Linked DNA regions of Lonchura striata. The protein of the gene in region 1 purifies or fractionates together with the protein of each later gene. This does not show direct contact. Links are inferred from orthologs where the notes say so. Each region holds a gene or a part of one and is shown in the gene's direction. Other genes may lie near its edges.

Region 1 (8,279 bases):
TTTTCCTATGTTTTTAGGGCAGTGGATGCCTTGACAGTATTTTGAGGTGTTAAGAAGATAAGCCTACCTTGTGATGGGCAGTTGGAAGTGACAGCAGCAGAAGGGACCTAGATTGGGAGCTGGGAATGGAAAATGGGAGAGGAATTCCTTGATTCAGTAAAAGTGGAAAGGAAACATCAGGAGACAACCGGATGGCCAAAGGCTGAGCTGAGAAATATGCAAGAATGAAAAGCAAAATTAAAGAGGCCAAAAGAACAAGGGATCCAGTGGAACACAGGAGGAGAACAACTGAGAGGACAGATGGAGAAAAGAGTAGTGGAGGTGACGGAAAAGGAAGATTGCTGACACCAGAGTACTGCTGAGGAATGAAGATAAGCATGCAGGAGGGATGAAGAGGAGAGAGTTTTATGAAAAATGAGGTTGAGACAGAAGGCAAATCCTGCAAGTGAAAATATATTAGAGGAGAAAGGTCATGTCAAAATACAGTGAAACTATTTATTTTTTGCCACTCTTATCTTGTGCATTCTTGAAGCTGCAATTTTCAGTCTTATTACTTCTGTGCTCCCCAGCAGCTCAGGCTGCCTAGCAATGCCTGGCTGTGCTGGCTGTGCTGCACAGAGCTCGTGGCTGCCTAGCAACTGCCAGGGGTCTGTGTTGGGGTCTCTGACCAGCTCAGGGATGCAGTCCTGCCCCAAACACCCCTGCTTCCCTGGCAAGCCAGGAAGCAGCATCTGCAGCTGTTAACAGCTGTGATGAAAACCTTAAAAATATTAATTGGGAAAAAGGGCACACGGAGGTGACCACAAAAGCGCAGAGTGCATGACAAATTGTCTCCAAAATGCAGAAACAACCCCATTCATCTCTGCAATACTCAGACAACCTGTGATGATAACTGAAATATCAATATGGGTAATTATTCTGGTTCTTAAATAAGGCTCTGTGCTAAAGCAAAGGAAAACAACCCAATGCAGCTAAGCACCTTCTTGGGCAGTTATTAAACAGGCGAAGGAAATATCAAAACAGCAAATTTTGGTACCAAGAAAAGAAAACATTGAAGAATATTAAGTATTCATAAAAGCTTGTCCTAGTACAGCCATACTTGTGTAACTATCATTGCAATCAACAAAAATTTTATTACAAGAAAATGAGACTTGGCATTTGGCAGCAGAGCTGATGTGGCTGATCTGAACAGCCCTGTGTCTTCTGTGCCTCCAGCTGCCCTCTCAGATCCCTCATCTCCCTTTCCATTGCACTGTCAGAAGTGCTTGTGCAGCTAAACCACCGAATCAGGAATTAATCCAGCAGAGAAATGGTCCAACAAAAAATAAAGGGTTATTTTCCAATCAACACTACTGAAGCAAGTACTGTTCGTTCCCAAGGGAAAAACAAAGACACATGCCAATCTATGGCCAAGGAAAGGGAACAGACAGTTACAGAGCTACACAAATTACAGTGCAGGAGAAGTTGCTGTGATACTGCTACTTTGCTGCTGTTCTAAACAGCACTTAGAATATAGTCACATTTTTCTTTCCAAGCCAAAAATGGCCTATTGTCCCAGAAAGATAGGATTGCCCCTGGAGATCTCATGCCCCACTGAGGAGGAGAAAATCTCAACGTAAAGTTGAGACATTGAGAGATATATAAGCACATTTTACTCTAGATAGGATCTCATTTGGGTGATTGTTTAGGTGGAGATTGATGGACATAATTACATGTTTTCCTCTGCCAGTCCAGCAGCCCAAGCCAGGAAAATTTTAATTCCCAGCTCTTTTGTACACTTGAAGTATCTTGTAAGTTAGGTAATTTATTTTTCTTATCAGCAGTTTATACCTGGTGCAATGAGAAAATGTCACAGAGTAAAAAAGCCCAAACTCAACAAAATAAACCAAAATGAAAAGAACAACAAAATAAAATATTTTCTGAAAAGAAACCCCAGTGAATGCAGTTTAGATGCACATTACTATCTTCAGCAAATGTCAGCTCAAGCCCAAACTTTATTGATTGTGGCTCAGCACTGGTTCTGCTAGATTTGCACTCTTTTAGGTGCTTTAGAATCACTTGGTGCACACCATGCAGACTCATGGAACCAGCTTCAATCTACTGCACCTGAGTCAATGCACCAACCAAGAGCCTCAGACATGAGGAACACCCTGCAAAGACACTCAAGGGATCCTGCAGAGAGTTATTTAGAAAGAAGGAGGACTAGCATGGGACAAAAGCTAATAAGGCCTGCTGATCTTATCAGTTGGGCATATCCACACCAAAATTCCCAGTGCATCTTACACAGTGTGGCCCTCACAGCAGCACTGCCATGCTTGTATGGCACCCAGATGACAGGTCCTGCAGGAGTGGACCTGGTTTGGTTGTTTATCTACCCAAAGTCTAACCCGCAGGCATGGGGACAATGCCTGGCCGCGCCATGGCAGCTGCAGAAGAGCCTCATAGCTGTCACAAGGTGGCAACATTCGATGTGCTCCTCCGAGGTCTTCTTGAGTTGTGAGAACATTTTGCATTTTTGCTCTGCTGGAGCCGCTGCTCTGCTGTGCCAGGTGGATGCATCCCCGGAGAGCCCGCAGTGCCTGCTCAGTGCCTGTCCTGCCAGGACAAGCTTGCTCACGGGAGTGAAGCACAATACATTTAGCAAAACACGTGCCACTCATTTTGCTCATACTGAAAAAAGTTGATGGGCAAGGCCCCACACATCTGTCATTTCTTTTAGAGGGGCAGCTGTAACATTTTATGAAGAGCCAACAACAATTGTGCTACATTTGAGGATGTTAACAGCTTCCATGAAGTCAGTCTGTGATCTGTAGGCAATTAAAGATTCATTCAAGCCAATGGGTGTTAAGCAATTTGCAGCTAAAGTGAATAGAGAAATTGAATTAGTCTTTATTAATATATACAATAAGTCAATACTGGAAACAAGGAGAAGCCAGTGCCCAAGAGTAGTGATGCCTTGTGAAGGTTCACCTAGAACAGAGACTAACTAGATGGAGTTAAAGAATAAAGTAGGTATTTATTAGAAGACCTCAATGGATACATCTAGGGCAGTACAAGAGCCCAGCAACAGCTACACCCAAGGTGAACCCAAAATGGTCACAAAATGACAGGTCACAGGGTCTCAAACTTTTTTAAGTTCTGGTCCATTAGCATATTGAAGTTAATTGTCCAGTTACAGCTTTAGCTTATGAAGTCCCATCCTTCTTGTTTTTCTCTCTTCAGTCCACATTATTTATGCTCTTGGGCCTGAAGTTTGGATCATTTGTCCTTGGTCCCCAGCTAGAGAAGAAATTGTTTTGTCAACCTACACTGTGAAGAGAGCTTACTATCCCCTAATATGAAGCTCAGAAATGCACACTAAAGCAGCACATAATCTGAAAAATATAAAAGCTAAAACCTGAGGCATCAGGGGTTCTGGTCACACTTGCCCCAGGACACATTTAAAGCTTGCCAATATCTCAATACAAACAAACTGAATTAGCTTACATTAAAAGGAATCCAAAATAAAGTGTTTTATTGGACATACATGCTGCCCAAAAGAGAGCTATTAAAACCCCTTTGGAAACAATTTTGCTAAGCTGCCAAGTAAATTAACCATCAGAAGAGAGCAATGTAGATGCATTTCTATCCCACAGCAAGTGCTGCAAGTGTACCAGCTCCTTCTGCTCCTCAAAGAGCTCTCAAATACTTTTCTTGGTACCTGCCTGTCTGTTCCCAGACAGGAGTGTATTTTGTAACTCCAGTTGCAAAGAGTTTCCCAGTCCTGATGGTCCTTTCCAGGGTCCTTACCTTTCATCCTTGCTTCTACAGTTCTGGGCTGAGATACTGGACTTTGCTGACCACAGAGGTGAAGGGAGAGCTATTTTTTACCCTTGATTTAGAGAGAGCAATAAATACACCAAAGTATCCTGACCAGAACAGTGATTCACACAGGAGACAGACTACAGAGAACATGTAGAATGTCACATGATTTTGCAGAAATGAGGCAGTCTCCTCTTACTATAATGTGAGCTTGAGACTGCATTTTTCTGAAACATGCTGACTTTTTACCACTGTGTGCATTTCTCTAGGACAACCATTAAAAAACACAAGGACTAACTGTGTTTGTGTTTGTGACTGCGGACACACAACACATGGCAAGAACAGTGGAACCTTGGAAATGGCTTTTTCTGGGCCTGTTACTCATTGCAAGAGCAGGCATGGACATCTCAGCAGAGCAGTCACCTGCTGCTACTGGCTTCTCTCCTGGCACGATTGCAGAATCAGGATTTGGCTTACAAAAAAGACATGCAAAAAAGATTGTACTAAGTTATCACTGGACTTTTGTCTTCCATACTTTTGCTGACAGCCAGATGAGGCCTTGAACAATGATTAACAACTGAGGTAAATGAGTGGCAGGAATACTGTATTTATCTCAGCCAAATATTTAAGCTCTTCTTAAGAACCTAAATTCAGGAAATCACTGTTAGTAGTTATACTGGGCAGGCCCTGACTAAAATCTGCGTAACTTGGATTCAGTATTTCTCCCTCCCCCTCAGGGGGTAACTCCCTTGAAAGGACTAGTTGCCCCAAACCATGATCATTCTAACATCTTACCAGTCTTCTGTTATCTTTGGAATGGCCTGTCCAGGGAGGTAGTGGAGTCACTGTCCCTGGAGGTATTTAAGGAAACCCTGGACATTACATTTCGGGCTGTGGTCTAGTTGACATGGTGGTGCTCAGTCATGGGTTGGACTCGATGAACTCAGAGACCTTTTCCAACCTAATTGATTCTGCGATCTTCCATATTTTTAGCCTGCCAGATGGCCAGATAACCAGAGCAGTGCTTCCCTCCCAGACCCTTTCAGCCTCTCCTGCAGAACCGCTGCCTCTGGGCAGCACTGTGGGGCTGGGGCTTTTCTGAGCGAGGCGGGGGATGTACATCACTGTCTCCCCTCGTCTCTGGGGGAGACAGGACAGGAGCCGGGGGAGCAGGGCAGCCCAGCAGCCGGGGGAGCAGGCCAGCCCAGCAGCCAGCCAGGCCGGAGCACTCCGGGCCCCACCATGTCCCTCCGGCCCGCGGGCGGTGCCCACGAGCGGCGGCCGCCCCGCGCATGCGACCGGCCCTGCCTACAACTCCCGGCTGCCTTCGCACAGCGAGGGCGGGCTTTTCCTCTTTTTTCTTGGTTTGGTTTTTTTTTTTTTTTTTCTTTTTTTTTCCCCTCCCCTCGGAGGGGGAAGGATGGGTGGGGAAAGCGAGCGTTCACGAAAGCGAGGCGAGGAGGAATCCCACAATACCAGGCGGGTTGCGAGCCCGGCGCTGTCGCTGTCTCTTTAATGCAAGAGGAAGCGATGCGGAGGGGTGGAAAATGGCAGAGTTGCAGATGTTGCTAGAGGAGGAAATCCCTTCTGGCAAGCGGGCTCTGCTCGAGAGCTACCAGAACCTCACTCGAGTCGCCGACTACTGCGAAAACAACTACATCCAGGTAAGGGCGGCGGGGCAGCGCACCGGGGGCCGGCGGCGGGGCTCGGCTCTCCGTGCGGCGGCGGGGCCGGAGCCGCCCGAGGGGCAGCGGCGCCTGGCTGCCCTCGCCGCGGCTCCCGCCCCGCGGCCGGTCCCTCGGCTTTGCCTTTTCTTTCAACTTTCCCAGCTGAACGGCCAGGCTTCCCTTCCCCCGCTCCAGAGGGGAAGGGAGGGGGTTATTATGTCAGTCCGGCTCCGAGGGTGTGTCTTTTTTTTTTTTTTTCCTTTTTTTTTCCTTCCCCCCCTGTATTTATTTATCATGAGTCACATCCCGGAGACCTCCCAGGGGTGGGGGTGACCGAGGCGCGAGGGCCCCCGAGCCCTTCCGTGCGGCCGGCTCCGACCCGGTATCCCGGGTTTCCCCCCGGCTTCCCGGCGGCGGGGCTCCCTGCGGGGCCCGCGGACGGGCCTCGGGGCGGCGGCGGTGGCCGGGGCGGGTGCGCCGCACGTGGGGCGCGGGTGCCGGGCGGCCCCGCGCCGCGCTCCGCGGGGAGCGGAGGGCCCCGCGCGGGTGACATCACGGGCTCGGGGGTCCGCGCCGGCTCCTCCTGGGCGTGCGGGTCCCGGCGGGGCCGAGGCGGGCGCGGTGCTGCGGGGCCGCAGCGCTGCCGTGAGCGGCGTGCGGGGGCAGGCGGCTGCCCGTGGGCTGGCAGCGCCGTGCGGGCGTGAGGCGGTGTTTCAAAATGGCAATCTGTGCCTCTCGCAGCCCGCCCGGCTCTAGCACCTACAACAGGGATTGCAGACCGAGTCTCTCGTGCGGGAAGAGGCTCCTTTGGTTCCAGCGTTTCTCCACCGGCGGTGGGTTTTTTTTTTCCATCCCATAGATTGCCAATGCTTCTTGGACTTCTTTTAAGTCTGATTTTTCTGAAGCTACTTTAAGCACAATTTCCTATTATTATTTTTTTCAGGATTTACATCACGTGACTCTAAGTCTCAGTCTTTAGTCATACTGATCTGGATGCAGAACCATCCAGAGATGCTGAAACTCAGCTTTTTTTTTCTGTAAAAAATTTGAAGGGGAAAGGCAAATAAACTTTATTAACTAGACAGCTTGTAGAGTGAACTTGTTGAATGTAATACTAGATTACCTGTGATAAGTATTTAATATAGGTTACCAACATCTTTGGTATCCATTATTGCTGGTAAGCTGTCTTACTGTTTTTAGTTACGGAGCAGCAAATATGGAAGCACATCTTTAATAATACAAAGTGATTTTTTAATGAGATCTTTTAATTAAAACTGCTCTAACAAGCCATATTTTCAAGTTTTTTTTTTTTTTGTTTGGGTTTGTGTTTTTTGGTTTTTTTTTTTTTTTGGTATATGAGGTAGTATGAGTTAATGTCTATTTATGCTTCCGAGTTGTTTGCTCCACCCAGAGAAAGCTGCTGATATAAATGCTTCTAAGAGGCGAGGTTCATTTGGTTTTACTCATGGGAAATATGACAAATACATGAGTATGGTAATTGCAGCACAAGTTTTGACGTGTCTCTTGCTCCTGACTTTTCCCTATGTCAGAAAGGTGCAGAGAATCTTCAGCTACATCGTTTTCTTCACAGTCATAAAATTTGTCTTTTCTTACTTTCATCAAGCAAACCAAATAAACACAACACTTGAGCAAATTCCCATCCAGTCATTTGGGGTGGCTTTTCCTTTTCCTCTTTTTTTCTTTTTTTAATTTTTTTTTTTTTAATTTGGTAGCTCATTTTCACCTCAGGTATCAAGGTCAGCTAGATGTGGGATTGATGGGGTCTCTTTTATCTTTGTACAGCTGTGTACAAAGATAAAAGAAGGAAGGAAGCCGGAATTCTAAAAGTCTAACGCAGTCTTGTACAGTAGCTTTGGAAAATGTATATACCCCACTTGTATTTTACATGTATTGTACATTTGCTTAGTAAAAATGTATTGATAAAATTATGTATTTTTTTGTGTTTGATGGAGGTGGGTTTTTTAATCAGCACTTGCTGCAAAACCATCTGCTGTCCAGTTGGACTACTGAACAGATTATACTGCCAGTGCATGTGGTGGATACTGCTGGATTAGGCAGTATGACACAGGGCACTGGGTTATGAGATTTGGGTGTAGGAGTATGGTGGGATGGGAAGGGAGAAAAGGAAAGGAAGAGGCTTAACAAACATATAATACAAAATCTATGTGTTTGTTTAATGTGATTGAGCATTTTATAAAAAAGACAGACCAGAATAAAGAACCTGGCCATGAAGTGAATGTTGAAATACTTCACTAGTAGCTCCATTTCTTATCTGGTTGTATGTAGCTGGTTCAGTTCAGCCACTTTGAATTTGGAGTGGTTTATTTTTTTCTGTGGAAAAAGTGAAGTGCTTCATAGTGGTAAACATTACTGTGTGCTGTTACCCACTCTGAGTTGTGCCACTGAGGTGAAACAGGTTTGTCAGACTGTTCTGAGTGCTGGCACTAACAATTTATTGTGATTGAAATAGGACAATGAATTATGTTCTCTGTGTTATGGTTTATATTCTTTGCTGACTTAAGCAGGAAAGTAATTTCTTGCCACTGATATTGCTATATTCAAGCTATATATATGTATTTATTTGAAAATACAGAAATTTTGTTTTGTCTTTCTTAAGCTGAGAATAATTCTGGTAAAATTTCAGCCGTGCTGATTTCTTAAGGAAAACTTGTATTCAATGTCTCTTGAGATTCCTTAGGGTGGAAAAAAAAAAAAAAAAAAGAGCGACAAATGGGGGAAACACTCACCTGTCTGGAACTTACCTCCCTGATGGTGAATGTAGCTGTGTGG
Region 2 (7,367 bases), on another chromosome or scaffold:
CCGTCATGCCTGTGCCAACCCTGATGTGCCCATGGCATCCCACAGGGCACCGAGGCTGTGCTGACATTCCCACCGGCTTTTCTCTCCCCAGGAAAATTCAGGATGCTCACAAAGGAGCAGGAAATGCCTCTTGTGGCCACCTGTCCCTGTCACCAGGCCACGGGTGATGCTCCTGGGCTGTGCCAGAGCTGTCCCTTCCAGAATGGGAAGGGAGAGACCCTAAAATGCTGGTTTTTTCATCCCATTCCACGCGGCGGGCGCCTGAGCGAGGACATCAGTGCCTCCCTTTTCCCGTGCCAATTTTAAAAACCCATTTTTACAGCTGAGCTGATGCTCAGCACCACCAGCAGCAGTGGCCGTGTCCCAGCGGGGTCACCGCAGCCCGGGCTCCGCTCTGGCTTTTTCCATCCCCCGGGGCAAGGCACGGGAGCAGGAGGCGATTCCGGCGGAAGGAATTTGGGGTGAGAAGCGGCACCCGCGGGGCTCAGAGGGATGCGGGAGGACCTTGTCCCGACGGAGGCGTTAATGAGGAATGAGGGAGCAGCCATGCCCCGCGAGGAGATGGAAATGAGGGCAGGGGATGGATGGGCACAGCCCGGGGCAGCGGCTGCACCCTGGCACGGCTGGCAGCAGCTCGAGCCTGATACCAATCCGTGGTATTGATGATTCCGAAATTGCAAAAATTCTCTGTCTTTCAGCCCCGCTGCCAAAGCAGAAGCCATAATTGGTCTGTGCTGGTTTCCAGGTTGTTTATTCTGTTGATCTCTCACATGTTCTGCTGCCCTGCCCAGCTCTGTCCTGCAGGGCAGCGTGTGGGGCTCTGCCCTCAGTGGGATGTGACAAACATTCAATACCAGAAACTCCCTGGGCTGGATTTACAAGAACGTGCCAATATCTGTCACCTACGTTGGACAGTGTGTCCCCAGCCTGAACCAACAGAAAAATGCCAACACCACAGTGAGACATGGAGGGCATGAAGAAGGAGAAAAAGGACAAGGCACACCCAATTTCCTCCAGCTTGTCCCCTTTGGACCCCTCATCTAGAATCCTAAAATTTTACTTTTGCACCCGTGCCACACTTAATTATTACTGCTATCAAACACACAGAGCTGGTAATTGATCCTGTAAGATTGAAAACTCTTTTCCATGGACAGAGATCACAGCCAGTGTCTCTGGGGGCTCTGTCCAGGGGGGTTCTGACCCCTGCCAGGGTCCCAGGGCAGCCAGAGGGAAGCTCTGGATTCCCACAGCAGTTTGGGTTTTTTATTCTGGGTTTCGCTTCCCAGGGATTCCCCATTTCACCCGGGGATGTGGCAGAGTCTCTGCCTCCCCTCCCCTGTGCCTGGGTCTCGTGGGAGCTGAGTTTTTGTGGGAGCTGCTGTCCCCAGGATTCTCTGTCATCATCCTGGCCCCGCGGGTGGAAATGATTTACCCAGCTGGGGACCCCGCACGCTGCTGGTCTGGAGCTTTTTGGGGCCCTTCATGAAGTGTTGGGGTGCTTTGGGGAGCTCCTGGAATTTCTAGGGCTGGGACAACCTTCCTCTTCACCTTCCTCCTGTGCTTCCCTCACCCCTCTGTCCCCGCAGTGTAACCGATCCTCTCCCCCTCTCTCCCTGTCATTACTTGGACAATGCTCCATTACTCTGTGCAGAAATATTTTTCAAACTGGTTCTGCTGCCACACGAGGAGGGGAGAGATGAAAAATGAAAAATGGGATTTTTTTTTTAATTTTTTTTTTTTTTTGGGAGGCTAATGACTCGGAAGTCAGAGCTGGCAGCAGAAAGTCAACCCAAACAGCCTAATTGGGGATTAGAATCTCCTCAGTGCAGCTCAGCTCAGCTCAACAAAGCCCAGGGAGCAGTGACACGCTCAACCTTCATCCTGGAAAAGAATCACCTCCCTGGCACCACAGAGAGGCCCAGAGGTGCCGGGAAATTTCAGCCCAACTCCTTCCAGTGCTCCTTTCAATCTTCAGTTTGGGTTCAGATGGGTGAAGGAGGGAAAATGTGAGGCAGAGACACAAAAGCCCAGCAAATCCCAGCCTTTCCTCAGGCATCACCCTGGATTTGGAGCCAAATTCCCATCCCTGCTCACTGCTGCTATTGGGAAGCAGCTCAGGTTTGCTCAGCCCACAAGATAGAAGAGCCAGTGCCCGAATCCCACGGGAGATGCTGATGTGCTGGGAAGCCTGAGAGATGGAGAAGCTTCTTGCTTTAGAAATCTTCCAGCCATTTCCAGCAGCTGGCAAACTCCTCCGGGCGTGCGGCCAGGCCCTGGGAGCGTTGGGAAGGATGTGGCTGCAAGAGAGGCAGCAGGAAACGCAGGGAGCCGAAGCCCTGGGAGCCAGGAGCGTGGAAATGCAGCAGAAACCACCTGAGTTCTGCTTGGGATCCTTCCCTTGGCTTTGCCACGCGTCCTGCCGCCGGCCTGCTGCTCTTCCAGCTCAGTCCCTGTGTCCTGTTGTCCCCTCTCGGCTGGATCACAGAATCGTGGAATGGTTCATGTTGGAAGGGAGCTTAAAAGTCATCTTGTTCCAATGCCCTGCCATGGGGACACCTCCACTGGGAGCTGGGATCCCACTGGGGGCTGGAATCATCCCACCGGGAGCTGGGATCCCACTGGGGGCTGGAATCCCACTGGGAGCTGGAATCATCCCACCAGGAGCTGGAATCCCACTGGGAGCTGGAACCCCACTGGGAGCTGGAATCCCACTGGGAGCTGGGATCCCACTGGGAGCTGGAATCCCACTGGGAACTGGAATCCCACTGGGAACTGGAATGCCACTGGGAGCTGGGATCCCACTGGGAGCTGGAATCCCATTGAGAACTGGAATCCCGCTGGGAACTGGAATCCCACTGGGAACTGTCCCAGGCTGCTCCAAGCCCCGTCCAGCCTGGATTTGGGCACTTCCAGGGATCCAGGGGCAGCCCTGGCTGCTCTGGGCACCCTGTGCCAGGGCCCTCACCCTCGCAGGGAAGGATTTCTTCCTGAAACCTAATCTCGATCAGATTGGAGCGGTCATGCTCCCGAGCTTGTACCGGGTGGTGAAATCCTTTCCCAGGCAGCTCCTGCTGCTCTGCCGGCCTCAGGCAGAGCCCGGAGAGCCTCTCCAGGGGGCTGAATTCCCCTTCCCGCGGTGCCATTCCGTTTTCAGGAGCTGATTGATCACTCGCAGCGAGCAGCAGCGTGGCACAGCTCAGGTGTGGCCGAGTCGGAGCAGCGTGTGACACAGGGCGAGTGTCACCCCCGGGGCCAGCAGGTGAGGAACCGGGGGAGCTGCGGGGTGGGAGGGCAAGGGCAGGACACGGCTGCGAGTCCGGCTTCTCTCCCGGGACCGGGACCGGGACCGGGGCCAGCCCCGCCGGGATGAGCCGGACGCCGCCCCGGGGATGACGCTGCTGGAATTCCGCGCTCCGCTCCCGCTCGGGTGCTTCCCGCTTTTCCTGCGCCTGTCTCCCGCTGGTGCTCAGCACCTCGGGGCCCAGAGGGTCCCAGAGGGTCGCAGAGGGTCCCAAGGGCGCCCCGCTGTCCCCGCACCGCCCCCTCCCCGCGCGGAGAGCGAGGGGACAAAGCCGGGACCCACCGGGGAACGGGAAGAACACCTCGGGCGGCTCCGGGGGTGACCCCGCTGGCAGCAAGGGGAGGGTCCCCGGTCCCCACGCCCCCGGGGCCACCTGCGGGCTCGGGGGGGCGGGCGCCGGTGCGGGCGGAGCTCCCGCAGCCCCGGCCCCGCCCCGCACAGAAACTTTCCGTCGGCGCCGGGCGCTCGGCGGGAGCCCGGAGCGGGGCCGGGGCTGCGGCCGGAGCCGAGCCGAGCCGAGCCGGGCGGGCCCGGCCCTATGGGCAGCGGCTGCCGGCGGTGCGGGGCGCTGCGGGGCGCTGCCCGCCGCGGCCATGTCCGCCGGGGCTGCACCTGCGGCGGGCGGCGAGCGGGAGCCGGAGCGGGGCGGCGGCGGCGGCGGCTCGGAGGGCGCTCCCGGGGCTCCCCCCCGGCGGAAGAAGGGCCGGGCGAACTCGCTGCGCCGGGCGATCAGCTGGCTCCGGGGCCGGCGGCGGCAGCCCAAGGACGGCAGCGGCTCGGGAGGGACGGAGGGAGCAGGTGAGGAGCGGGCGGGGTGGTGGCCACGGTGGCACTTAAGGAGGGGGCACGGTGGTGGCCACAGAGGAGGTGGGCGAGGAGATTTTCAGGGAGCTGCTCAAAGAGGTGGCGAGGTGGTTTTTCAGCCCCAAAAATCCTGTCCCACCCTTAGCCACGGTGGTGGCTAAGGAGGGGTCACAGCGGTGGCCACGGTGGCCTTGGTGTGGTGGCAAAGCGTTGAGTGGTGGCTGTGGGAGTGGGCAGGGAGGTGCTGGGGTGGTGTTCTCAATGGTGGCCAAGGCAGTGGGCAAGGAGGGACAAGGTGGTGGCTGTGGAGGGCTCAGGGTGGCGGCAGCGGCCAAGGAGGAGTCACAGCGGTGGCCATGGAGGTGGTGAAGGAGAGGTCAAGGTGGTGGCTGAGGAGGTGTCACAGTGGAAGCCAAGGAGGGTCAGGCTGCTGGCCCTGGAGGTGGCCAAAGAGGGGTCACCGTGGTGGCTGAACAGGAGTTGAGGTGGTGGCCGTGGACGTGGCTGAAGAGGGCGCACAGGAGGGGCAGGGGTGCTGGCCATGGTGGTGGCCAGGTGGGGTGGAGCTGCTGGCCATGGTGGCAGCAGGGGCAGGAGGTGGCAGCGGTGGTGGCAGTGGCCACGGGGGCCGTGGTGGCCGTGGTGGCAGCAGGGGGAGGAGATGGCAGCAGTGGTGGCAGTGACCACGGGGGCTGTGGTGGCTGTGGTGGCAGCAGGGGGAGGAGGTGGCAGCGGTGGTGGCAGTGACGACAGGGGCCATGGTGGCCGTGGTGGCAGCAGGATGGATCCGGCAGTCCCTGGCACAATCTCACCCAGCCCCGAGGGCTGGTGCTGGTTCACTGGGTAGGTTCTCCTGCGCTGAGTCAGAAGGTCACTGGGGCTGAGGGAATTCTGGAGGGATGCCAGCCGCTGCCACCTCCTCCTCCTCCTCCTCCTCCTCCTCCTCCTGGGCAGGGTGTTTGCGTGCTCCAGGTGTGGCCCTTCCTGGCCCAGATACGGTCTCAGCCCGGCCCGCTCGTGCCTGCTGCCTGCACGGCCCGGTCATGTCCCTGCCACCCTGACCAGGACAATCCTGCAGGGGCAGCTGCCCTGGGTCCCCTCTCTTGGCCACCCTGGAGCCCTGTTTTGGGGATCCAAGGGCTCAGCCAGCGAGCTTTGGCAGAGCCATGGCTGCTGGCTTGTCTGGTCACGCTCCTCTCCTCAGCGCTTTTTTGGCAGTAGCAGATGTCCCAACAGGGAAGGTTTCACCCCAAAAGCCTGTCCCACCCCAAAAGCCTGTCCCACCCCACGCTGCTGGGGACAGTGTCTGTGTCACAGCCCTGCCCTCCCTGAGGGCACCTCTGGCAGGGATGTTTTGGCTCTTTTGCCAAGGGAGAGGCCTCTCCCGTGGCACCCGAGCGTAGCAGGACGCTGCCAGCTGGGACTTTTTTCCTCACTTTGCTCCAGGGAGTGAATTTCCAGGCACGCAAGGCTGCGTGCTGCCTGGAGAAGCACACGGGGATCTGTGATAGGACAGGAGTGGCCGTGGGAAGGGAAAAGAAGCTTGGGAAGAGCTGAGCTTTCTCCTGGGCCGATCCATCGGATGCTGCTGGTGGTTCCTCCGTGTGTGGACACCGCTGCCACAGCCCAGCACTGAAACCTGAGCAGAAAAAACGAGATGTGCCGGAGCATGTGATGTTCCTCTTGGCAGCAGAAACGCCCCCAGCAGCTCTGCCAGCCCGTTTTTTCCTTTTTTTTTTTTTTTTTTCCCTGAAGTTGTACCGTTCACCAGCTAAACCCTCAAAATGCCAAGTCACGGCCTGTCAGGGTCACAGCTTGGGGACCTCTCTGTGGCAGCTGTGCCAGCCAGGGCTCTGTCACAGCACTGCCACCCTGCTGTCCCATCGGGAGAGCTTTCATTGCATGGAGGAGCCCTTCAGTGCCCCAGCCCGGGGGACTCTTCCCCTGTGGGCTGCATCCCAAATTCTTCTCCGCGGTGTTGGGGGAGAAGCAGCGCGGATGTGCCGCGCTTGCAGCTTGCCTGCGTGCCTGAATCACCCTCCCCGTGCAGCTCCGGCCCGCAGAGCACGCCAGGAACCCCTCCCTGCTCCAGCGGCCCCGGCACCCATCCCCGCGGGATGGGGACAACGTTTCCCTGCAGGGTGGGGGGGTCAGATGCCTCTGGATGCTGTGGGAAGGAAGGAGCGTTCGCCCCGGGTGTTCTCCAGGCTCGGAGCCGGCGGAATCGCCGTGCCACACGCGGCTCTGACCCGGCCGGAGGCTGCGCTGGCCCCACGAGCATCCGTGCAGCGGGACCAGCTGGGAATTCTTCCAGCCCTTCGTCTCCAGCATCCTGTCCCTCTGCTGCTTTTGCAACCTTCAAGTCTTTAGGGTGTCTGGGAGCCCCTAAAGACAACCAACCTGCTCCCCAAATCCTTGTCTCGGCACAGGATCCACGCCCTGGGACACGCCAGGGGACCCTGAGCACTCCGGGCAGGGGAAGAGCACAATAATATTGACGGTGCTGGGAGCACTGGGAGGGGGAGTGGGGAGAGCTGCGGCAGGCTCTGCGTGCCCTCAGCTTTCCCTGGGTCCCAGTGGTGCTGGGGGATTTGGACCAGGCAGTTCCTCATCCCCCTGGGCGTGGATTGCTCATGGATTTGGGACAGGGTTGTCTGAGCGTCCCGGCGGTGGGGAGGGGGAGTAGGATGGCTCCAAGGGGTGGGAAAGACAGAATTCATCGCAGGGCACCGAATCGGGGCTCATTCCTGAGCATCTGCCTGCCCGGCATTGCTCAGCACTGAAATCACGGCGCAGGGAGGATGAGAGCATTTCCCCTTCGGACCAATCCCCCGGGGCCCGTGGCTATCAGCGATGCCATCTCTGGCTGCCCAAAGAGCTGAGCTGTGAGGAAAGGTTCCCTAATCTCTTTTTGGGAGGGCAGGGGGAAGTGTCTGCCTGGATCTGGGGCAGGCTCCAGCCTCTCTGCTTCTTCCTGGGAGAGAAACACAAGAGCTGAACCCGGGGGTTTGATCCAGGGGGCTGCAGAGGGGTCAGAGGAGGATGTCCATCCCGTGTTTTGGGGTGGTGGGAGGAAGCCTCATCCCAGCCTGGAGATGCCCCTGGCTGAGCAGAGGAGAACTGCTGTCCCACAGTCCCTGGGCAGAGATCTCTGACCTGCTGCCCGTGTGGCCGTGGCCTTGTTTCATCCCCGCTGCCCCGAGGCTGTCCTGTGAACGGGGCACAGCCGGGAGTGGAAAACAGGGAATTTTTTCCCACCCCT
Region 3 (7,906 bases), on another chromosome or scaffold:
GTAATGGTTTTATCCAATGACTATATATATGTATACACACACACACAGACACACACACACACATATATATATATGTGTGTGTGTGTGTGTGTGTGTGTGTGTGTGTGTATAATATGTATGTTTTAAGTGCATAATTATTTTCTGGGATTAAGCTCCGGGATCTAAGTTCTGCCACTTGCAGCTAATATCCCAGTTTCTGCAAAAGATTTGACTTCCCCTTGTTTGCTTGCTTTGTTTCAAGTGCCTTCACACTAAAGTGTTCTGTGGCCTAATGCTTTTGATTACTGCAGTAAGGGAGGCATGAATTCATTCCTCTTAATCTTGTGTGTATCCTTTAGTCAGTCTTTCCATTTCTCGAGGGAGTTCTTCAAACATCAGGCTGTTGTTCAGGAAGCAAGAATCATCGGACCTTTGGTGCCTGTGCTTCAAAGAGGGTAGATAGGGTTAACCTGATGCCCATTGAGGCCATTTTGATTTCCGGCTTGTGCTGTATGTCCTTGGTTTAAAAAAAGCTAAAAAAAGTGAGTGAAATGGTTGGCTCTTTTTAGGCACTTGTGATTTCTGGGCATTCTGTGGAAACTCCAGCATTGAGCTGGCTATGATGATTTCCAGCTGCTGTCGTCAGAGCAGTTGGAAGCTGAAGCAACTGTTGGTGCCTTCACAGACACGTCCATTTCCTATCTTTTCCTATGCTTGAAACCAGTATTTTGATGACACCAATATTTGATAAGTAGTATTTTATACAGTTCTGGTCTAATACTGTGTCCTAAATTCTCTGAATTTTTACAGTTAGCATATCTTAATTGCAAAAGGAATTACTAAAATTATTGAGTTCTTACATTATCTACCTTTGAGGCATCTTTATTACTTCATAATTATATGTACTAGTTCAAAGTCTAAAAATTCCAAGCTATCTTTTCAGAGCTCCCTGTAGAGACAGCTAAAGATAATCTCATTTTACATCCCTATTCTCTCACTATCTACTTTCTGCTAAATATTTGTTAAGAGAGAAAGAGCTAACTTTATTAACTCCCTTATTAGATCTGCCCTTCCTTGTGGCTGGCTGGGCTAATCTTTTTGCTGTATTATATAAAGAATTAACAGATTTACCTTCTTTTCCTCTATGTGGTCTCTTGACTACCTCAGAGGAGCCAACAGGGATCTGTGTTAAGTCAGTGTTTCCCCTATGATAGAAGGTGCTATGATTGTCACGTGTAATGGGCCTGAGGGTGTTTTCCCTCCAGATTGAGAACACCTTCTTTTCTTTGATAAATATGTACCTGCAGGTTTTTTGCTCATAGTGACTTAATCCTGTTGATGCCATAAACCATGAAGGTGGACCTTTACTGTCTCTCTATTAAGAAGTTCTGATGTAAGGTGAGTGCACAATTGAACACACTCTCCTGACCCAGTGAAGTTCCCTTGAAAAGCTTCCAAATGGGCCTAATTTCTCTCTGCTTGAAACTGAAATGGCATCTCCAGTTTGCAGACTGTAGTTTTCATTTGCATGTATTTTGTATTTCCAAGCATAAAGTACAAAGATGTGTGTATTTCAAAATGTTCTTCTTTCATGTTTGTGCCTTCAGTTATTTAAGCTAGCTTTAAATAATGATTGATGCATAGCACAAAACCAACTTAAATTTTTTTTTAATCAAGTTTCCAAACTTGGAGTCAAGAAAAGAAGGTGAATGCAGTCATTCTTTGTCTGTTTTTCTGATTCCTGTTTCATCTCAATATTTTTAAATGACTGTCAAATTTAAGAGAAAGGTCATAGGAATAAAATATTTGAAACGTTGTTGAGCTCCTGTACATATTGTTAAAATGCATGTCTTTGCAAATATTACGGGCAATGGAAAGGTAACAGTGTTAGTTTACATGTAAATAGCCAGAGGAAACCAGAGAGGGAAGGCATTCTACCGATATCCCAATTATGGAATAGCTTTAGTTAAAGCTCACAATCAACCATGACACAAACGCCTTGAGAGGACTAGCTTTAATTAGTTCTAATCTTCACAAAAAAATTAGTTTTCTCACCAATATTTATTCATTTCATATTAAGAATATTGCTCAAACTCAGGCATGGACAGTGAAAATAAATGCTGGCTATAATTAACTTGAGCATTTAAGTTTAGGGGAAAATACTTATGTAAATATGAGGACTTTAAATGCTTCTTACAGAATTACAAAGAAATCTAATTTTGTCTAGCAAATGAGTTTTTCCTTATGAGATATTTTAAAGTGTTTAAATTTTGGCTTGCAGAAACAATGGAATATTAAAATTAATTTATTAAAATACAGCACATTTAAAAACCTTCATGCATGTAATCCCTACTTGCTACAAAAATTTTCTGAATGTATACTGATTTTTTTATATAATATTTCATCGGTGTTATGACAGAAGGGAAAATAGCTCACATTTCTTCTTAATAAATATTCACATGACTAGTTTCCTTGATTTTGTGTAAAAATGTATTTATCTACTGGAAGTCATATAAATCAGGCTAATAGGAAAAAACTTCCTGTTGCAAGTTCTAAATGTCATCCTGTAAAGAATCTCATTTCATTCCAGAATAGCTACTTAAAGGACCAGGAGTTTGAGTCTGGAGCTCAGACCTGCAAAGGACATCCAAACAAGAAACTTAATTCGGTGAAAAAAGAATTTGCAAGATTGAATTTATGCAGTTGCAAATTTAGAGTAGGCAATAGCAACAAATGATGTCATAATTAAAAGTATTCGCAGAACATAAGATGATTTGTACCGGAGAAGACCTCTAAAGATAGCCTAGTTTCAGACCTTCCCCTAGGCCATGTTTCTTGGAGCCACATCCAACCTGCTCTTGAAGACTTACAGGGATAGGGCATCCATAGCTTCTCTGGGCAACCTGTCCCAGTGCCTCACCACCCTCACAGTGAAGAATTTCTTCCTAATGTCTAATCTAAACATTAAATATCTATTTAATTATACCTCTTTCAATTTAAAGCCATCCTCCCTTCTTCTATCACTACGTGCCCTTGTAGAAAGTCCCTCTCCAGCTCTCTTGCAGCCACCTTTAGGTACTGGAAAGTGTTGTAGGATCTCCTTGGAGCTCTCCCTCCAGAGTGAGCAACCCAACTCTCAGCCTGTCTCCACAGGAGAGGTGCTCCAGCCCTGTGATCCACCTCATGGTCCTCATCTGGATCCTTCAATTTTATTTTTTTTCTGCTAAGTAAGAACAGAAATTTATGACTTAGTAGAATTCATAGCACAGAAAGTGTGTGGCATCTCTAAATACCTAAATGTTACAAACAATGAGAAATAATAATTAATGTATGTAATCTGAAAGTATAGGGAAACAAAGCTCAGAGAAAGAGGGGGAATGGACACATTTTCATGTGTGGTGTGTAGCTGGTTGTAAGAGGTTACCCAAGAAATTACTGGAAATACCTTATTTCAAATGATGATATTTGAATGGAAAACTTATTGTCCCAAATGACACTACCTACTGTGTAGAAAACAGGCACATCTGAAAACAGGCACATCTGAGTGCTCTAGTCTTTAGCTTAGCAAGTCTTTAACTCACTTCATCTGGTGTAATAACTTTTGTTGTTACACCAGGTGAATTATGTAATGATCTAGCCTGCCACAGTATAAATCATTATTGAAATAGTCGGTTTTTTATATTTTATATATTATAATAATGAAAATCATTATTAAATCATCATCAGTGTTTTTGGGCTGTGAAATATTTAATAATATTTCAGTTCAAAAGCAAACAATTTCTCTGTAGATGTTAATACCTTTTTTCTGCAGCATGGCTCTTCAAACGTTAAGTAACGTAAACGGCAGTAGACAGGGAAATATGTTTTTCTGCATTGACATTTTTTGCAACAAATCCTCTTCTCAGGAATTTCATTGTTCACAAGAGGGGGAAATTAATCTACAGAGAAGCTCAGCTAGTAGTAATAAGATGATTATTACACATTTTTACATCCCACTTGGTAGCTGGTATATCTTAATTCTTTCTTTAAAACTGTGAAAAAGAAAATCAAACCAAATAATCTGTCATTTGTGTGTTAGGTATCTAAGCATAAAATGCATTTAGGCACTTGGTGTCGTAGCATAAAGTGCAGGGAAGGTTTCATTCTTAAATACACGACTCCTTCGTGGCTCTTGCAGTGCTAACACCACTTCTTCAAATCTCTAATGTTTTGAGGCATGAAAAGCTGCCAATAGTCATTGTTGACACCTGTAACTAAGTTTAATAAGGGAGTACTAGTTAATATAGTGTGTAGCACTGCTGAATTAAATACAGGAACTTCCTAAGTAGCGCCTTCATTGTGTGATGTTTCTTAGTCACAGCCTTCTGCACATTGGCCTAATTACTACTGTAGATTCCCAACATCATTTATTATTTGATTAATATGCAATTCCTTTCTCAGATTCATCAGTAATAGCAACACAATGCCCAGACTCTTGTATTCCCCTTCCTTCCTTTCCTCATCAATGCACAGCAACTCGTTTCTTTCATTTTTGGCACATCATAATTTAATATTTACCCGTTGTAGCTTGGTACCAAAGGAACAATTATTTCCTAATCACTTGCCTTCAGGGGGTTCTCTACTTGTGTCTGGAGAAAAAGGGCAGTTTGGGAGCATGCCTGTGTTTCCTTTGTAAGGACAGCCCTGTTGTTAGGGCAGGGCACTGTGTGCTGAATTCTAATGCCTGGGTGCAAGAGCCAGCCTGTGTGGAAGGGGCAGCGTGGGAGGTGCTGGCTGCGATAGCAGAGCCCCAGCCTGGGGCTCCCTGCGAGTGGGGAGCTGTGCAAGTTGTCCGGCCCGTGCCGATGGGAGCGCAGCCCTGGAGCGCCGTGGCCAGGCTGCAACACCTCATCCCCCCGGTACCCACCAGGCTGCTTGGCTTGGCAGCCAGGCACTTCAGGTACCATTCCTTTAAATATTTATCATTTGCTGCCACAAAATATTGTCCGTTCAAAAGCACGTTGTTGTGTATTGGCATAGATTTTTATGTGCATTTGGTAGATTTTGTAAGATTGTTTAAAATTTACGAGTGTTTGTAATAGGTCTTGTCCTGGATTGGCAAAGGACTATGTAACAGAGGTAACTGTTTATGTATGGAATATTTATTTTCAAGGAAAATTGTAGAAAATTTTCAAAGGTAGCATGTTCAAACCACAGAGAAGGTACCTTTAGTTCTGGTACTAAGGTTCTGATTTTAAATTAATACTGGATTAGTTATCTGTCTCTGTCAAGTCTATAATAAAGATCTTTTGTTGCAATCCATCTTAGGGCTTTTGTGTTATAAACTATACCTAGAAACTGTTAACAGGAAGACTAGATTAATGCAGAGAGAAAAAATGTCATCAGATAAAACATAGGTCTCAAAAAGCAATTTCAAGTTCCATACTATGTTATGCATTAATACATTTTTAGCCTTTGGGGAAAAGAGAAAAACTTGTAATCAAAAATTAATTTAAGCATTCTTGGCTGTACCTAAATTAGAACCCTGGATACTTCCAAAATTGTTATTAATCAAATGACCTGACAGGAGCTCACTAGGAGAAAATTAATGAGTGCAGACTTCTGAATAATATTTAGTAATGCTGACCAGAAATTTTGCAGCTCTTTTTCTAATTTTACATATGACAATTTAAAATACTTCTATTTCGAGGTAGCCATATGTGTCTGTACATGTATGTTATGCAAATATATTGTACATCTGCTCTTTATTTTTAAATTAACTTCTTCAGAAAGCTTAATAGAAATACAAGATCACGAAGTCACTATTTTTTCTTGATTAATATCTTAACAATGAAGTGACATGTGGTTCCATATGACTTAAATATTTCTCCATTAATACATGGATACACTTGTTTAATTTATTTTTTTTTAATTTATTGTAAAATATCATTGCAATTTTTGCTGGTTGGGGTATAATGATTCTCATCTTTTCTGGGAACAATTCACAAGATTTATTTTATAAGTCTTCACTGTAATTTAGTGCTATATAGAAGGAAAGAAATTGATAATTAGTATTTTGTGCCTTTAGGGTTTGGATTTGAAGAATACAATTCTATTCTATCTGGTTTCTGGTTATTTACTGGTTTGTAACTTTAAAATAAAACAGGTCATTAAAAGATTGGGTCATCATACCTGTAACAAAAGTTTTAGTTTCAAGATACTAAGAAGTAGAATTATAACGAAAACCAAGCCTAAACACCAATTAATTCACATCTAACATCTGGAAATTCTTAAGGGTGTATTTTAATTTTTAATAGACCATAGAGAGTTTTTTCATCAGAAATTTTAGTCTTTGTGTATTCTGTGTTTTTTATGTTATATGCATTTTGGAATTAAGATGTTATACAAAAATGTGGATTATAATTTTCTTATTTCTATTTTTGCTTAACATACCTAATGTGAGGGAAATTTGTAAGTCTAAATGTTTCTTGCTGTAGACATGCTAAACAGTGTTACATCTAATTTTGTTCATTGAATCTTGTTGGTAAGCCAGAAGTGTAACTGGCTTAGTGCGTTATTGACCCCAGCAGTCCTGCTGTTCAGAGTAGGTAGTGTTAAACCTGATTTGTTTTTGTTTTTTTTTTTAATTTTTCCATTTTGATTTAAATAACTTATTTATTAAGATGAACAGAGATATTTTTACAGTTATTGGGAGACAACTGCAATAATGGTGGCTGGGATTTCTTTTTTCACATGAATGACTCAAAAGACACCATAGTAAGATGGAAGCTGTTGGGAAGGTAGTGGAAAATAAAGGAAGTAGCATTGGATGCTTAATAAATTGACAAATCAGTAGATACTTGTTTATATTCTGGAAAATCATAGTTGAAAACAAAGGAAAAAACTTCAGTTATGTGAAATCAAGCTGAGTTTACCCTTGTAAAAAGGATCTGTCTTGAAAAGCCACAGTTAGTGAGCTGTTTCAACTCTGAGTTGTTTGTGAATTCCATTTCATGAATAGGAATCCTGCTTAACAATAGGTACGAGATTTGCAAAATCCACATGCCGTTTATTTCACCCCATTGCGTTTTGCACTTGTATTGGGAAAAAGAAACCAATATTGACCTGAATATTCTCTCCTTGTATTTAGGATACCTTAAGCTTTTGCTCTGTACATGTGATCAGAGTGAAATTTTTCATGAGGGTGAGAGGGGAGGGGAGGGGAGGGGAGGGGAGGGGAGGGGAGGGGAGGAGAGGAGAGGAGAGGAGAGGAGAGGAGAGGAGAGGAGAGGAGAGGAGAGGAGAGGAGAGGAGAGGAGAGGAGAGGAGAGGAGAATGTATAAATGATTGTGACAACCTCTCCCACCTGCACACTGGGACAAAAGGGGCCAGAGGCAGCCTGAACAACACACAGTTGGCAGGAATTCCAGACGAGTGGGGACACTGAGGAAAGCCCGAAGAGTGGGTTGTAGGTAGTGGGGAAAGGTAAATGATTTTCCCCAGCAGAATGGGAAATGGTGTGCAAGCCCTGAGGGCTGCACTCACAGGGTGGGGAGTGGTTGCTGCCCACTACGATGGTGTGTTTTGTGACACAGCTCATTGACTTGACCCAGATTGCAGCTTCACTCGCTGAAAATATGCTGGTGTTCCCTCTCAACCTTCAGGTAACCCCTGTAATTATGAACAGATATGTCAACTTTCTCCTCTGGAATATCACTGCTGTTCCTGTTAATGAGGTTGTGCTTGTTGCATTGCTACTGGGGAGTCGTATTTTGCACTGTTGCCCACACTGAGAACTCTGCTGACACTGCCATCATCAGAGCCAGTGACAGTGGCTATTTAAGATTTTCTTGAAAAGTTAATTTATCAGAGATAAAGCTCTTAAAAGCCAGCATACAAATTATTAATCCCTCCATTTCTTTCCACTCATAGCTTGCCAAAATTACCT
Region 4 (8,379 bases), on another chromosome or scaffold:
GTTTCTGACACAAAACAGAGTTTCCATGAATGGGTGTATCAGCAATAGCTACTTTAGGCAAGATATTAACATTTCATTACCTGCAAAGAAAAAGGTGCTCAGTTCTAGACAAAACTGCAAAGCAATCCAGCAGCACAGAGAACACATGCTCTGTTCCTTCAACCACTCCTTGCACAAACAATTTTAAACGAGGACTGGATCAGTAAGAATATATGCTTTTTTTTAAACTAGGCCAACACATCATATTTTTCATAAAATCTCCTAACTGACATACCTAATGAACAGTATGACAATTTAGCATACAGCTATTATAGCAATACAGAATGAGAATTTTTTTTAAATGGATGCAGAATTGTTGAATGGATGTTTTAATTAGTTCTAGAATATTAGGTATACTGAGATAGCAAAAAACATTTACGTGATTATATACCTTTTCATCATCCTCTTGTACAGCATGCTATGCTAAGATCTCATTTGAATACAACAGTTTCATTTACTGGTCATTTTTTTTTTTAATATCTATTTCAGAATTCCTTTATGATTATAAGACACAAACATACCTAATTCTTCTCCTGTATTATAGTCATATTTATAGAGTTTAAAATCTTCACCACCTGCAACCAAACATTCTTTCGCAGGGTGAAGAGATGCAGAATTGATTGTAGCAGGTGCTTCAAATGATTTAATCTGCTCTAGACTGAGGGAGAAAAGTTTGTTAATGAAGCTAATACAACAAAAAAAAAAAAAAAACTGAGAGCAAAGAAACTGTGATTCTACTAATCTCAACTGCTTTTCCCAGAAATAAAATACAACCCCACAGAGTTTTTGAAACAAGTTTTGATACTTGCAAATCATGCTTGTCAAGTTAGAAATGAGTTTAGAATAAGCAAAACAAAAGATCACACATACAGAACTACTTTCTGGAATATGTTTAAGCAGATAACTTCCTTTCTTGAAACATCACTGAGATGCCAGTCTTGACAACTTGGTGACTCTGGCCTTGTACAGCCAGTTTTTACCCACAAGAATCCCATTACTCCACCTGTGAAAACTGGAAGTTGTGGACTCACGTTTCTGCACTATGAAAAGCAATAGTCTTCCCATAGGTTATCACCAGTATCTGTCCTTCTGGAACATACTCCATGCTGCTCACTGACATTGCCACATTTAGTGACTTCACCTCAGTCATGGTACTCCGGTCCCAGAGGCTTAAAATAAAACAAAAAGGGAAAAAAAAGACTCTCAGACTTCTGCAAATCAAACAATTTCCACCTCATATCCATGGCAAGACCTGCATCAAAACAGGCACCCATCAAGGAATGTGGTTTGATTCCACAGGTACTTCAGCTCTTCAGTGGCTTTACCTGCATCCTCACCTGGGCCACTTTTTAAAATACTTATACCTTTGCAGCTTAATGCCACAACATTAAATGGTATAAACACACCATTTAACTACTCAGTGATTCTCCTGGAGATTAAAAATATTGATTTAAGTCTTCTAAGCAATGCTTGAAGATTCTACTCTCTTTTTACTTCAAAAGACAAAGAGATACTAATCCAAATTTACAGAGGTTCACTGAGGATAATATAGTTTTATATCTAGCAGTGCAAGAAGCATCTAAACAGAAATTAAGCTGTGCTGCTGTGACAAATAAAAATCTTTATTCATTAGCTGACTGCTGCATTTCTATTCCTACAATTTGGAGGAAAACAAACAGGAATAGGCTCTTGCCTATCTTTAACACCAGGAAACTGAAGAAGACAAAGCATCAATATCTCAGGACAGTGTGTATGCAAGAGACCTCATCTATAAATTCATCTTCTTCAGGATTACAAAAGGCATACATTTATTCTATGCAGTTATCAAAGACTACCTCTTCTTATCAGGGAGAACACATCTAGGAGGAGCACACATTTATGGGGAAATTAGAACTAAATGATCTCTAACAGCAGAACAGAGCTGTATCAGGCATGCAGCTACAATAATCTAGGATCAGGTAACGTGTGTTACTCATCCTTCACCAAAATAACATGACTTCATCCCCACACAGAGCATGACAATACAGAAAACTCAAAGTTACTTTTTCTTACCGGACAGTTTTATCATCAGCTGAAAGAATCTGTTTGTCATCACTGCTCCATAAGGCCTTTTTAATGCCAGAAGTATGTCCACTGACAACATCAGGTTCTTAAAAGAAAGCCAAATATTTTAATACATGTAATAAGATTAAATAACGCCATGCAGCAGTTGGGGGCTTCCTTAAGCTACACTGATTTCCATCTACTAGACACTGTAGAATTACTTCAAGCACTTATGATTTTACTTGCAGATCTTATTCCAGGAACAGGATAAATGCAAACTGAGTACCTGATTGCCTGCCTAGCTTTCAAAAACTTCACTAGGTGAACATCAATTTTCTCTGGCTTCCTAACAACCATCAATAGGTTAGCATCAACACAAATTTAAACACACTTAAATATGTGGAGTCATTTTTTCTCTCCGATGACTAAATTTTAATTAATTAGATCAATTTAAATGTGTCTGCACTGAACTAAAACACGCTCTGCTTGATGTCTCATTCCTGGAAGTGTGCAAGACCAGGCTGGATGGGGCTTTAATCAACCAGCATCCAGAGAAGAGAGTTTGGAACCAGGTGATCTCCAACCCAAGCAATTCTGGGACCCTTATATACCAAAACCTTATAGACATTACATTTGTAAACCAATCCTCAACATTGTTCTTAGCAGAAAGTAGCTCCTTAATTTCAGAACTTTTATTTAACTCAATAAAGCCCTCAAGAGTCAGTTTTAAAAGCAGACTCACCTGCTTCTGGCTTGCTCAAGTCATAGATACGCAAGAGCTTATCTTGTCCACCTGTTAACAGGTAATTGCTATCCTGAAACAGAAGTTATAGAGAGTCAACTCTACTTTGAATCAAAATACAGCCTTTGTCTGTGATTTAAAATCACAGCTTTTTCTCTCAGACAGCCTCTAAGACACTTGCTACATTAACCCTACAATCCTAAAAATGAGCAGCAGTATTTTAGATTATTTCGCTGTTAAGATTTACAACAAAAAAGTAATTAATAACAAAACATGCTCAAGAGCTTATTTCCCTGGTGAATAAGGTATAAAGGTTCCTCATACCTGTGTAAAATCCACACTTTTGACAATGTGTTTGTGAGCAAGTGTGATTAGTTCATCGCCTGACACAGCATCCCACACTTTGCTAAACAGCAAGAGGAAATATTCATATTTTAGAAACATCAGGACAAAATCAACCTGGACAGTCACATGAATTTGTAAGCAATCTTTCCTGACACCATCACAATATTTTATCCTAAAATATTACATTCTTTTAAGTTGCAACCTAGTTAGTCAATAAGAGTATTTTAAATATTTTTACTAGAGCTTTTTTTGGTACTATCCCACCACTTTCCGTTATGCTCTTCTTCAGAACCCTGCAAACTTATTAACATTTTAGTTTGAAGACAAAGGTGGCTCTTCTCTGCAAGTTCATTAATAGAATTTACCCTGTACTAACAAGATTCAACTTGCAAAATATTCCTTAATACTGCAAAATACAGCACAAACAACAAAAAACATTGAAGGACTAATTCACTAGAAGTTTAATGTAATAAAAAGAGGCTAACTGCTAGATGAAAAATAAAAATCCCCCTCTCAACTCTGCTATAACTACAGTGCCACAGATTAGAGATTCACAGAAAAGTTAAGTAAAAGTAAACCAGTATGATAATTCAGCACATCAAGAAGCAATCACAGTTGTTCATCATGACACAATTAACTGTAGCTACTTTCAAGAATGTACAAATTTAGGTTTTAATTGACTAACCAAAGAGAAACAAATGAACCAGTAATTTAGTACAGCTAAGTTGCCACCAAAGAGCTACAGAATAAAAACCAAAATACAGCCCGTGAAGACAGTCCATCACTTACGCTGTGAAATCTGCTGCTGCTGTAGCTGCTTTCGTGGCATCCGTGTTCAGGGTGGCACCCCACACAGCACCTTTATGACCCAGAAATGTGCCAATCCAGTCTCCCGTGTCCCCCTGACGCAGCATAGGCTTGCCATCTTCATAGAAACAAAACCAGTATTCAGGTAACGTGGCAAAAGAAGGAAGCAGTTTTTCAAAACTAAAAATACTCCCTTGCATCAGCATGTGGAAATGCCCCATACTTTACAAAGCCACTCTTTGCAGAGGGGTTCAGCTGTAGAGTTTAGATGTGCAGTCGTACTTGCTGCATGCATCTAAACTGTGCCACTATTCAAATGCTACTGCATGTGGAATTAAGAGCTTCCTGGTAAAACTCTAACTTTTTCTTAAGATAGAAGGAAAGTAGAAATGTTTAATTCAAGTTTTATTTTTACTAAAGTTTTCTTCAGGCAGGGCAGATTTGGTTTGGTCTTTTATTTTTACACTGGAACAATATTATCAAGTCATCAGTATGTAGAAACAAGTGTCATGGTTGCAATGAGATATGATTAAAACATACATTGATACATGAATGAAGTACTAATAGAAAGCCTTTCCTATCATCAGTTTTTTTCTACAAGGCTATCAAAGAGTTGTTCACACAAGACGTAAAGCCGACCTGGAAGCACTTCAAGGCAGAAAAGGAATGCCCTTTAAAACTTATGCATGTCAAAGATTAAAATATACATGCACGAAAATGAAATGCTATTCCCACAGTGAGCAAAGAGCTCTCATCATGCCGTGTCCAGCAGCTGCCCTGGTCAAACCGGAGCTCGCTTCAAATCCGCAGCCCGTGTGCACAGCGGGTAGAAGGAGAAGTTTTACAACCGAACTGTTCTGGAGCACTCCCACCCCGCAACAGCCGGGATCCCAGCCGGGATGCCAGCCGGGATCCCAGCCGGGATGCCAGCCGGGATGCCAGCCGGGCGCATGCGGGCTCCCACACCCCGGCTAGCCCGGCAATGAAGCGCCAGCACAGAACACCGGCTATCCGCTCCCTTCGTCATTCCACAGCTCGCTGAGGCGCTGCCACCACCCTGAGCGGCCAGGACACCCCTCCCGCCCCACCGCCACCCGTGGGGACGGCGATGCGCGACCTCCGAGCGGCGGGGCTCCCCCACGCCCACCTCCGGGGCGGGGGATCCCGGACAAAGCGGCCCGTCCCGCTCACCCTTGCAGGCGCTGATGAGGAAATATCCGTAGGGGGTGACGCCGCTGAAGGCCAGGTCCACCACGGGCCGCGTGTGGCCGGAGCAGGTGAGCGGGGTCTGCCTCATGGCCATGGCGGCGGCGGGGGCCTGGGCAGGGCACGAGTGCGGCGGCCCGGCGGGAGCGGCGGCGGCGGCGGGGGAAGTGACGGGCAGGAAGCGCTTCCCGCCGGACGCGCGTCACGCCCGGGGGCGCGGCCGCCGCGGCACCGCCCCGACGGGGGGACGGGTCTGCGCTGCCCCGCTCGTCCCCTCCGTGAGGGAGCGGTGGGGTCCTTTCTGTCCCGGCAGTCCCTCATCCCCTCCGTGAGGGAGCGGCTGGGTTATCAGCGTCCCGGCCATCCCTCATTCCCTCTGTGAGGGAGCGGCTAGGTTATCAGCGTCCCGGCCACCCCTCATCCCCTCTGTGAGGGAAGAGCGGGCTCGTCCTCGTCCCGGCCATCCCTCATCCCGCTCCATGAGGGAATTAGCGAGCTCCTCGTTGTCCCCTTCAGCCACCACCCCGGTTCCTGAGGAAGCAGCGGGCTCGTCCCCGTCCCGTTTATCCCTCATCCCGCTCCCTGAGGGAGCAGCGGCGACATCCCATTCCCATTCAGCCACCATCCCTCTCCATGAGGGAACAGCGAGCTCTTCGCTGTCCCGTTCATCCCTCATCCTGCTCCCTGAGGGAACAGCGGGGTCCTCGCCGTCCTTTGCATCCCTCATCCCGCTCCATGAGGGAGTTAGCTAGCTCCTCTCTATCCCGTTCAGCCACCATCCCGCTCCTTGAGGGAGCAGCGAGCTCTTCGTCTCGTTAATCCCCTCATCCCGCTCCTTCAGAGAGCAGCGGCCACATTCCCGTCCCGTTCATCCACCATCCCGCTTCCCGAGGGAATAGCGACCTCATCACCTCCCGTTCGTCCTGTCAGGAAGATTAATCCACATACGCCACAGGTTTATGTCCAAAGAGGAGACAGAGGAGTCCTGTAACTTTATTCGAATAAAGGGAGAGGTCATGGGCGTTTCCCATGAGGTCTCTCAAACTGTTAGAGGACGCAGCCTCCTTTTTATCCTAATTTCCAGGCTGTATTTCCCTCTCTCTTCCCCCATTTTCTGAGGTACTTGAGAAGTACAGACTTCCCAAATCTCTTAATACAAACCCCTTTCTAATATGTAGGCCCCCCTTTTCTTTTTACCTTGTGTTCTTTTTCTCTAAATCCAGAGGTTTAGCTCAGGCTTGAGTGAGTAACTGTCGATTAGTGAAATTTATGTTTCCCCCCCCGCATTGCTTCTTTCACCTCTCAGTATCTGGCCTTGTCTACCATCAGGCCCACAGTTTGTTGGTAAAGACATCTTGTTCCTTCCACAGATTTCGCAGAATGACCAGGTTGGAAGAGATCTTAAAGATATCAAATCCAACCCAGCCCCAATACCTCAACTAAACCATGGCACCAAGTGCCACATCCAATCTGTTTTTAAACACATCCAGTGACGGTGACTCCACCACCTCCCTGGGCAGGCCATTCCAGAACTTTATCTCTCTTTATGTGAAAAACTTTTTCCAAATATCCAACCTGTATTTCCCTTGGTGCAGCTTGAGACTGTGTCCTCTGGTTCTGTCAGTGCTGCTTGGAGAAAGAGACCAACCCCACTTGACTACAACCACCTTTCAGGGAGTTGTAGAGAGCAATAATGTCACCCCTGAGTCTCCTTGTCTCCAGGCTGAACACCCCCAGCTCCCTCAATTATTCCTCACAGGGTTTGTGTTCCCAGCCCCTCTCCAGCCTTGTTGCCTCCTCTCAACGTCCTTCCCAAAGTAAGGGGCCAGAACTGGACTCAGCACTTGAGGTATGCCCTTACCAGTGCCAGGTACAGGGGCAGAATGACCTCCCTGCTCCTGCTGGCCACACCATTCCTGATCCAGGCCAGGATGCCCCTGGCCTTCTTGGTCACCAGGGGCATGCTGCTGGCTCATGTCCAGCTGGCTGTCAAACAGTATCCCCTGGTCCCTTCCTGCCTGGGCACTGTCCAGCCACACTGTCCCCAGCCTATAACGCTGCAGGAGGTTATTGTGGCCAAAATGCAGGACTGGGCACTTGGATTTAGTAAACTTAATCCTCTGCCTGTCCATTCAACTGTTCCAAATCTCTCTGCAGAGCCCTCCTACCTTCCAACAGACTGACACACTATCCCAGTTTAGTGTCATATGCAAATTAACTAATGAAAGATTCCATCCCCTCATCCATGTAATCAATAAATATATTGAACAGAACTGGCCCCTCATCCCACTTCCCAAAGGAAAAGCAACCTCATTACTGTCCAGTTCATCCCCTCCTCCTGTTCCCTAAGGGAACAGCGACCTCCTTGCCATTCCATCCCTCCACAGGTGGCCATGGTCCCTCAGTGCCCTGCTGGCTCCTAAACCAGCAGCGACTCCTGCCAAAATCCTGCCTTTTCTGCAGGCCCAGCTCCCCTCATGGCTCACTGATCACCAGAAAGGTGATGGGAAAGCCTTGAAGGATGAGGGGATTTCAGGGAAAAATAGCAGCACCCGCCTGGTTGGGCATTTTTATGTTGAAGACAAGCTGATGGTGCTGTCTGGACTTGCCCTCAGAAGCTTCTAAGGATGACTTGTTTGCTCTTACTCAAAGATGAGTGGAGTGATGTTTCTCTTAACCTAGAATCAGAATGATTAGTAGTTAATCACCTCCTTTTTCTCTTAAGCCTTACAACTAGAAAAGGTATTTAAATCATTAACTGAAAAATGAAGCTGGAGCTAACTGCAGACTTTCACAGCTTTTTTTATTTAAAAGATAGGCACGGTGTTTCACATTCTTCTGGTATTTTATTTCTCACCCCAGGTTTCTCAGAAGTAGCTCCTAAAGATTTTGTAACTTCATGACTCATTTTCAGGCATACTGACACTGTATCACAGATCAACAGTTTTTCCATTCAGAGCCACAGGTTGCCAGGTGGACCTTTCCCGTGTCTTTAAGATTTTCTGGATTTTTTCCATACAAAATTTAATTGCTTCTACATTTACATCTTACAAAGTCTTATCTAACCGTAGGGCTGTGACTTCCTGATAGAAATGCTGTTTGGGTTTATATTTTTAAAAACTCTCCTGGTGACTGATGTTGTCAAATTTTTCAGTGGAAAAACATGATCCTAAGGGACAGTATAAAGAAAAACTTTG

Evidence for each region.
Region 2: the proteins of ABI1 (region 1) and NHSL3 purify together in Homo sapiens (affinity purification with mass spectrometry; 3 studies listed by BioGRID and IntAct, with this or other methods). This does not show direct contact. The link is inferred for Lonchura striata from reciprocal best matches to the Homo sapiens genes ABI1 and NHSL3.
Region 3: the proteins of ABI1 (region 1) and WASF1 purify together in Homo sapiens (affinity purification with mass spectrometry; 6 studies listed by BioGRID and IntAct, with this or other methods). This does not show direct contact. The link is inferred for Lonchura striata from reciprocal best matches to the Homo sapiens genes ABI1 and WASF1.
Region 4: the proteins of ABI1 (region 1) and EPS8 purify together in Homo sapiens (affinity purification with western blotting; 4 studies listed by BioGRID, with this or other methods). This does not show direct contact. The link is inferred for Lonchura striata from reciprocal best matches to the Homo sapiens genes ABI1 and EPS8.

The regions. Positions count from the first base shown.
Region 1 is NC_134603.1:140,617,461-140,625,739, reverse strand, and holds the start of ABI1 (abl interactor 1), read left to right. Parts: upstream 1-5,232; 5' UTR 5,233-5,348; coding exon 5,349-5,465; intron 5,466-8,279. UniProt on the Homo sapiens protein: May act in negative regulation of cell growth and transformation by interacting with nonreceptor tyrosine kinases ABL1 and/or ABL2. May play a role in regulation of EGF-induced Erk pathway activation. Involved in cytoskeletal reorganization and EGFR signaling.
Region 2 is NC_134628.1:906,756-914,122, reverse strand, and holds the start of NHSL3 (NHS-like protein 3), read left to right. Parts: upstream 1-3,894; coding exon 3,895-4,099; intron 4,100-7,367. UniProt on the Homo sapiens protein: Able to directly activate the TNF-NFkappaB signaling pathway.
Region 3 is NC_134605.1:69,128,640-69,136,545, forward strand, and holds the start of WASF1 (actin-binding protein WASF1), read left to right. Parts: upstream 1-4,822; 5' UTR 4,823-4,823; coding exon 4,824-4,918; intron 4,919-7,906.
Region 4 is NC_134607.1:9,511,509-9,519,887, forward strand, and holds the start of EPS8 (epidermal growth factor receptor kinase substrate 8), read left to right. Parts: upstream 1-5,139; 5' UTR 5,140-5,167; coding exon of another isoform or gene 5,168-5,279; exon of another isoform or gene 5,280-5,330; intron 5,331-8,379. Other genes in the region: STRAP (serine-threonine kinase receptor-associated protein), read right to left, coding at 561-697, 1,071-1,208, 2,092-2,188, 2,825-2,897, 3,149-3,230, 3,959-4,094, 5,168-5,279. UniProt on the Homo sapiens protein: Signaling adapter that controls various cellular protrusions by regulating actin cytoskeleton dynamics and architecture. Depending on its association with other signal transducers, can regulate different processes.